Mus musculus: one gene and its partner. The protein of the gene in region 1 purifies or fractionates together with the protein of each later gene. This does not show direct contact. Links are inferred from orthologs where the notes say so. Each region holds a gene or a part of one and is shown in the gene's direction. Other genes may lie near its edges.

Region 1 (3,511 bases):
TGCTCTGAAACCTGAACAGAATCAGAAAGGGCTGGGGGATTATTTAGCAATCTAGATCTCAAGGCTTTGCAAAATCCTTCCTATAACAGACCTAAAGAACTATTGCACAGTCTTTTTTAGGAAGCAAATTATGCGTCATGTCTGGCCTACTACCTCATGTTTGGTTGGCATCATAAAGGTTCAGGCCTGAGACTCAGCATGTACATACTAAACCCACCTTCCTTTTTTTCAGGAAAATACCTAAATGTGGTCAGAGAGTGTGGTCATGATGTCACCTGTCCCGTAGCCAAAGAAATCATCTATACCCTTAAAGAGCGGGCATATGTGGAGCAGATAGAGAAAGCGTTCAATTATGCCAGCAAAGTGCTGCTGGACTTCCTCATGGAGGAGAAGGAGCTGGTGGCCCACCTGAGGTTGGACTTCACTTTGTATCCATGGGGCTGAAAGTAGAATGCTCTTCTTAGCAACTACATTTTTTATCTCTCCACAGGCTCTCTGCAGCCTCAGTGTGAGGTGGCAGGGTCTCCTCAGTTCTCTAGTTCTCAGACCGTACAAGCCAACAGGTCTCTCAGCTCCTTGCTGTCAGTCCCTCCTCTGCCATGCCTGAGCAGAGCAGCCCCATGTCTGTCTGAGAGCTGCCAAACCTCTGTATGATGTATGGTGGAGGCAGGGTCAGGCTATATGTTCACCAACCCTGACACAGGTCCATCAAGCGCTACTTCCTGATGGACCAGGGGGACTTCTTCGTGCATTTCATGGACCTGACTGAGGAGGAGCTCAGGAAGCCAGTGGAGGACATCATACTCACACGCCTGGAGGCCCTGTTGGAGCTGGCCCTGCGAATGAGCACTGCCAACACTGACCCCTTCAAAGACGACCTCAAGGTGAGCAGTGTTTACCATCATGGCACCTCGCTTCTGCAGCATGGGAAGAGCACAGCAGGCCCAGTCAGGGTGTCCTACCAGGCGTTCTTCCTATGTCAGAGAACACTGGCTTACGAGCATTTTGTTTAGGGGTTTGTGTCTGGACTCACAGGAGGCACCGCTTTGTACTTTTCCTGTGAGTTTGGTCCATGCCGGTGTCAATAGGCCGACGGAGCGTAGGTGGGGATACTGCATGAGCGCTCCGTTTCATGCGGGCTGTGATGTTTCCCGCGTTTACCCTGGCGTTGCCATCAGCAGGGTGTGTGTCTGCTGCCGTGCAGTGCAGAGAGCTGTTCGGACTTCTAAGGCTGGCAGGAAGAGCCCCCTTCATCTCTGAGTTCAGTGGTTTGTCTTCTTTTCTCCCTCATGTATCTGAAAGCTTGCTAGTTCCCCTGATGTTTCTAAGACCTCGATCTTGGTTTTATTACTTTCTTCCTTATATTTATTTCTTCCTTTTTCTTCTGTGTTTCTATCAACCTGTTGTTTCTGTTAGCTTTGAACTTAATTTCTGTTCATAGTTTCTTGAATTTTAAAGTTAGGCTATTTTAGCATGCTTTATTTTCTTTTGTTTCAAGAGATTCAATGAGAGCTGGAGAGATGGCTCAGTGGTTAAGAGCACCGGCTGCTCTTCGAGAGGTCCTGAGTTCAATTCCCAACAACTACATGGTGGCTCAACTGATTCTATGATTTCTTCTTTCTTCTTCTTTAGTGATTTGTTTCCATTTAGTTATAAATGTTCAGGATTGTCTTCTGTTGCTTAGGGTTTTTTTGTTTTTGTTTTTAAATTTTCTTTATTTTATATGTCTTGCCTACACATGTATGTGTGCAGTGCCTGTGGAGGACAGAGGAGGGCGTGGGTCCGTGGGAACTGGAGTTACAGGCAGTTGTGGGCCACTGTGGATGCTGTGTGGCCACTGTGGATGTGGATGTGGATCTGAACCCGGGCTCCCTGGAAGAGCAGATCTCCAACACTGTTACTTAGTTTTCTAACTTCACTGTTTTGTATGCTTTTCTTTAAGATTTATTTATTTATTTTATGTATATGAGTGCATTGTAGCTGTACAGATGGTTTGTGAGCATCATGTGGTTGCTAGGAATTGAACTCAGGACCTCTGCTCGCTCAGGCCTCGCTCGCTCTGACCCAAAGATTTATTTATTATTATAAATAAGTACACTGTAGCTGTCTTCAGACGCACCAGAAGAGGGAGTCAGATCTCATTATGGATGGTTGTGAGCCACCATGTGGTTGTTGGGATTTGAACTCAGGGCCTTCTGAAGAGCAGTCAGTGCTCTTAACTGCTGAGCCATCTCTCCAGCCCTTAGTATAAGTTTTATAACATATCATGATGGTCCTGGGATTCTACATGGGTTCTTCCTGTGCTCGACAGGTCTTGGATGGTTCTTAGTGCTGTGCACGCAGCTTCCATCTATTACTGAGAGTAAGGCTGAGGCCCCACTGTTCTTGTAGATCTTCGTTTTCTTTGCAGTTCTGTTCTTCATTTCATGTATTTCTGGATCTCTTATTAAGTGTAGGAGTAATTTTGTAGGGTTTATTATTCCTAGTGGCAGTCTGTGGCCTGATCATCCAGGCAGAACATACAAGGTGCTGGCTGTGGGGCAAATGAGAGTCATGTCTGCGCACCTGATGTCCCCATCTGTGTTACGTTGACAAGCAGGATGAGAGTGGTCTACGTGCCCATGACTGTTAGGAGATGGTGAGCGCTTGCTTTGTTCAGGAGCTGTTTGTGCTTTTCCTCATTGATTCTTTATGCTTTGTTTTTTTTCCTGTCTTTTATATTTTTGTCTTTGTGGACATATATTTAAGTCTTATAGGAACCCTTAGCAAACTGGCATGTGGTTGGCTTTAATAAGTATTTAATAGTTAATGTTGTAGACAGTACTGTTTGTCCATAATAATCACTGTCATGAATCTCACCAAGTATGTGTCAACTTCACAGGTAAAATAAAAGGTCTTCACTCCTATGGTTCCTCACTCATAATAACAACAGAAACATTTAAAATGTTATTTTAAGGGCCAGAAAGAAGGGTTAGTCATTCAAAGTTATCTTGGGTTTCTATTGCTGTGATAAACACCATGACCAAAAGCATCTTGGGATGGGTTCATTTCAGCCTACAGTTCTACATCACACTCCATCGCTGAGGGCCGGAGCTCACACAGGTCAGGAGGCAGGACACAGAGGGATGCTGCTCACCACCTTGGACCTCATGGCTTGCTCAGCCTGCTTTCTTATAAAACCTAAGACCAGCAGCCCAAGGGTGTTATCACTCACATTAGCCTGGGTAACCCCATATCAATCACTAATTAAGAAAATGCATCACGGACCTGTCGGTAGGCAAATTAAAGACATTTTCTTGAGATTCTCCTTTTCCAAATGACTCTAGTTTGTATCCGTTTGACAAATCAGCCAGCACAGGAGTGTTCGCTGCTTTTGCAGAGGACCTAAGTTTGGTTCTCAGCTCCCAACTTGAGTAGCTTGTGTCTTGAATTCCAGTATCTAATGCTCTCTTCTTACCTCCACAGGCACCAGATATATACATTTTACATACATACATACATACATACATAC
Region 2 (4,298 bases), on another chromosome or scaffold:
CCTGGCTTTGCCTCCTGGGCCATTTGTGTCAGACCTTTTGAATAGTGTTCAAGAGGACAGTTGGGTGTCTTGAGGTAGGAAACCTTACAGTGCTGGTGCCAGGGGAGCTGCAGGGAGCTGCTGGGAATTAGGCCACTGTCTAAACATCATAAGTCTGGGGAAATTTGCCTTTGTAATTTTAGTGTATCTTACATGTTTGGAACTTTTGTCTGCATGCATGTATGTGTACCACGTGTGTGCCTGGTGACCATGGAAATCAGGAGAGGGCATTATATCCTTTAGAAATGGCATTATGGGTGACTGTGAACAGCCATGTGGGTGTTTCAAATGGAACCTGGGTCCTTTGCAAGAGCAGCACGTGTTCATAACTACTGAGCCATCTCCCTAGGCCTCTTTGAATTATATATATATATTTTTACATTTATTTACTGTGTGTGTCTACATGCATGTACATACATGCCACGGTACACTTGTGTAGATCAAGACAGCGTACAGGAGTCAGTTTTCTCTTACAGTGAGTCCCAGGGGTCAAATTCATAGCATCAGGATTGGTTACTGCAAGTCCCTTTACCCGCTGAAGCAGTTTTGGTGGTGGTAGTTTTGTTGTTGTTGTTGTTGTTTTAGGATTTTGTTTCGGTTTTGTTTCTGTTTTTGTTTTTTTCCTTTGAGGCAGGCTTTCTCTGTGTAGCCCTGACTAACCTAGGACTCACTATGTAAACCAGACTAGTTTCTAACTCACAAAGATCCACCTGCCTCTGCCTTCCAGCTAAAGGTGTGTTCCACCATGCCCAATTAGCCCTACTTTAAAAAAAAAGGTATTGTAGAAACCTTTTAAGATTTAATTTTTAAAATTATATGTGTGCATGCATGAGCACACTTGGGTGTGGGTGCCTACAGAGTCTGAGCCCCTGAAGCCAGTTACAGGCTATTCTGAGCCAACCAACATGGGTGCTGGGAGTTGAACTCAGGCCTCCCATAAGAGCAGGTGGTGCTCTTAACCACCAAGCCACTCTAGCCCCCAGCCCTGCTTTCTGCTTTTAGCCTTTATATCGCTATTCTTGTCTCTCAGGACCACTCTGTGGCCCACATACCTTCGCTCTGCGCATGGTAGGTTTGTGCATAAGCTAAGGGCAGCCAGCATTCCCAGGTCCAGGAAAGGATAGTCCAGCCCACATCCACATTCACAGACACGGTCTGACCCGAGCTGCTGCTCCTAGGCCCTCTTTCTGTATCTTTCCACTCTCCTTCGCCAGGATGCCTGCCTGGCCAGCCTGGAGATGTATTTGCTCCAACCATCCCCCAAGCTGCCCCACAGGGTGCCTGCCTGGCTAGCCTGGACTTATATTTGTTTCATCAGCTCAGTATATCAGCTCAGCACAGGGCGCTTGGGTGCCTGCCCTCTGCCCCACAGAGCAGCAAGCAGAAGGCTATTAGCCTTGCTGACAGCCAACCCCAGAAGCAGCCTCTGTCATGTGTTTTCTGAAAATCGAAACTAGGTGAGGTTTACAAAGCATTTCCTGGGACGAGGCTGAGGAAAGCCACATGGTGGAGCTTTTCTCTGCTGAACAGTCTACAGAAGGCTTCCAGTTGCAGCCAGGAAGGAGGCTCCAGGACTGCCTTCAGCCACTGCCTCGCTGCCTGAGGGACAGTTGAGTCCCTCTCTTGCTCCCAGGTGAGTCTCCACTCTACACAGCATGATTTCTGGCAGGCCAGAGCACAGGAGCCAATACAGTTGGGCAGGATGTCCACTGAATGAACAGCTGAAGGGGTGAGTGGGTTAGAGTTTATCCCCGGCCCCCTCCTGGGTCTGTAGATTCTCTCCCAGGACTAAACCTACCTACTCAGTGGTACTGAATGAGCCAGCATAGGCAGGCTTGTCCCATCTTCCCACACAAAGGAGTAGGGCAGAAACAGCCTCTGTCATCCAGTGGACAGCAACATCCACATACACTGCAATGTTCCCAAGGCCTAGAGCGCCTGACCCAGCATGGACAAACCTACGACCACAGTTTATAGTAAATGCAGGGAGTGGGCACCCAGTGCAGTTTGCCTGGGACTCAGGTTTCCCAGAGCCCAGGCCTTCTTGGGATAAAACTGGGGTAATGCCTTGCCACACGGATGTGGGACTCTCTGGCTCCCTCCACCTCCACCAGGGTCCTTGTGGTAGAAGGAGGCCACCCCTGGGCAGACCCTAACCTGTGCTCACTGGCTGTGTCATCTGGAGTCAGTTGGCTCTCTAGCTTCGGCTCTCATTAGGGATGTGGGAACTTTGTGAGTTGTATATTGTTCTGGGTCTGTGCTTGACTAGATGCAGAAGTCTGGTGGGAACCAGTTGGGGGGTGGGGGTGGGGTGCACAGAACTAAGGGCCAAGTCCCACCCATCAGTGTGTTATAGGACTCAACGGTCAGAGCTTATGCCCAGAAAGCTCCCCTGATAGCCAGACTCAGCCACCCATCCTCCATGGTCCAATTAAAAACATAACAGTGAAAAGCCGAAAAAGGAGATTTATTTAATGTGGCCACACTAAGAGGAATCCAGTGGCCTCCCCCATTAATGGCCCAGAGTCTATTAGGGGATATTAACATGAGGTTTACATAGAGGTATACATAGCTAACTGGCTTGCCTGGGCTGTAAATCCCAGAGTGAGCTGTTATTTCCTGGAGACAGGCTTCCTCTCTGGCTATCACCAGGCAACAGCCTTCTCCTTTCAGCGTGAGACTCCCGGGGAGTTCCAGTTCTGCTGTTGCTTCCGCAGTCGGATAGCCAAAGCCTATCCTAGGATCTCTTCACCCCTGCCAAGATGGCTACAAGTGCCCTGGCCCCCTGAGGGCTTGCTCGTGCTGCTCTGGTGCAGAATGTCTGGGGTGGGGGTTGGTCGGTGGGAGAGGGCTGGGGAGGGGCCAATCCTGGTGCTTCTACTGGACCTGAAATATCTCTACTGCTTGTCTCTGGGCCCCTGGTCGGAGTAACAATTTGTGGCTTCCAGTTCCTGCCCAGGAGACAGAGCTCTGTAGCACCATCCACTACCAGTCCCAAGCTGCCTGCTGGGCCTAGAACGAGTCCAGAGTCCATTGAGGCTGCTGCATTTTGTTCTGTGGGTTGCCCCGCTCCTTGCAGGGCCTGAGGGACAATGCCTGGGTGGGGCACATCCTACATACAGGCAAGAGTCTAAGTATTGAGTCCTGTGTGTCAGCACCGTGGTGGTTGACCCTGACCCACATCCCCAGGTCACATCATGAAGTCCCAGACCCTTCTACACTGCCTCTGTCACTTCCCCTTGAGAGTTCCAACCTCATCTACAATGTCCTCACAGACTGGCAAATCTTGTCCCCTGCACACCCCAAAGGCAGCTAGCTACTACTTACAGATAAGGCCAGCTAAAGATAAAGAGCTCTTGTTTGCTTCCTGGGTTCTCGTTGCCAGGAGCCCTCAAGCCACTTGCCTCATCTGGGGACTCTTGCTGACCTGAAGGTTGTCCTGCAGAGCATGTGAGAGAGGCCTGCATGAGAGCCATCACATAGCCATCTGGGCCTTACACAAGAGTACCACCCACAACACCATCCCATCCTCTACAAATAGGACAGGGAGCCATGGAACTGCCAGTCTCCTTTGGAGAGCTGTTGCCAGTCTAACTTTGTTGTTCTTTCTGCTGCAGGGTTGGGCTTCTAGGCCAGGCAATGGCTCTCCTGTGGCTCCTCTCTGTGTTCTTGCTGGTTCCAGGGACTCAAGGTGAGTCCTGCCCCACGAAAGGTCCCAAACGCCTTGTTCTGTGGGTTGTCCCCCTCTGCCTTGCAGAAAAGCTGCATGGCAACCTGCAAGGAGCCATGTCTCAGGATTCTCTCCCATGTGGCTCCTCTGTCATTCTAAATGGTGGTGGCGTATGGCCCCTGGTGCTCCCCCGCACCCAAGTGAAATGCAGGTATTGAAGAAGAGGCCAAGAAATTTTTTCTCATCTCATCAGTGGGCCAAGGAGGGAGAGCACAGCCCGTGCTGTCCTGGAGTGTGTGTGGGGGGGTGTCTCAGGGCACAGGTTAGGGTGGCAGAGAGTCCCTGGGGGGGGGGGGCAGTTCACACACTGCACTGTGGGTCTGAGAGCCTTGTCCATCCTGGACCGTCAGCTGAGTATCCCTCTCTAGTATGGGTGACCCCAATTCAAGCGCCCAGCTGGCCCTGTGAGCATGGGCAGAGACGGGAGTTCCAGAGAAAGGAGAGCAGGACTGTCCTGGCTGCCTGTGCCACAGTGCAGACTGTCTCCAGTCCAGGATTGTCCGCTTTAGGCAACCACTGTAGGGGTGAG

What was found. The genes of interacting proteins can lie anywhere in the genome.
Region 2: the proteins of Tubgcp2 (region 1) and Lgals3bp purify together in Homo sapiens (affinity purification with mass spectrometry; 3 studies listed by BioGRID and IntAct, counting the BioPlex papers as one, with this or other methods). This does not show direct contact. The link is inferred for Mus musculus from reciprocal best matches to the Homo sapiens genes TUBGCP2 and LGALS3BP.

Annotation. Positions count from the first base shown.
Region 1 is NC_000073.6:140,002,172-140,005,682, reverse strand, and holds part of Tubgcp2 (gamma-tubulin complex component 2), read left to right. Parts: intron 1-232; coding exon 233-413; intron 414-703; coding exon 704-884; intron 885-3,511. UniProt on the Homo sapiens protein: Component of the gamma-tubulin ring complex (gTuRC) which mediates microtubule nucleation.
Region 2 is NC_000077.6:118,399,160-118,403,457, reverse strand, and holds the start of Lgals3bp (galectin-3-binding protein precursor), read left to right. Parts: upstream 1-1,498; 5' UTR 1,499-1,672; intron 1,673-3,656; 5' UTR 3,657-3,678; coding exon 3,679-3,730; intron 3,731-4,298.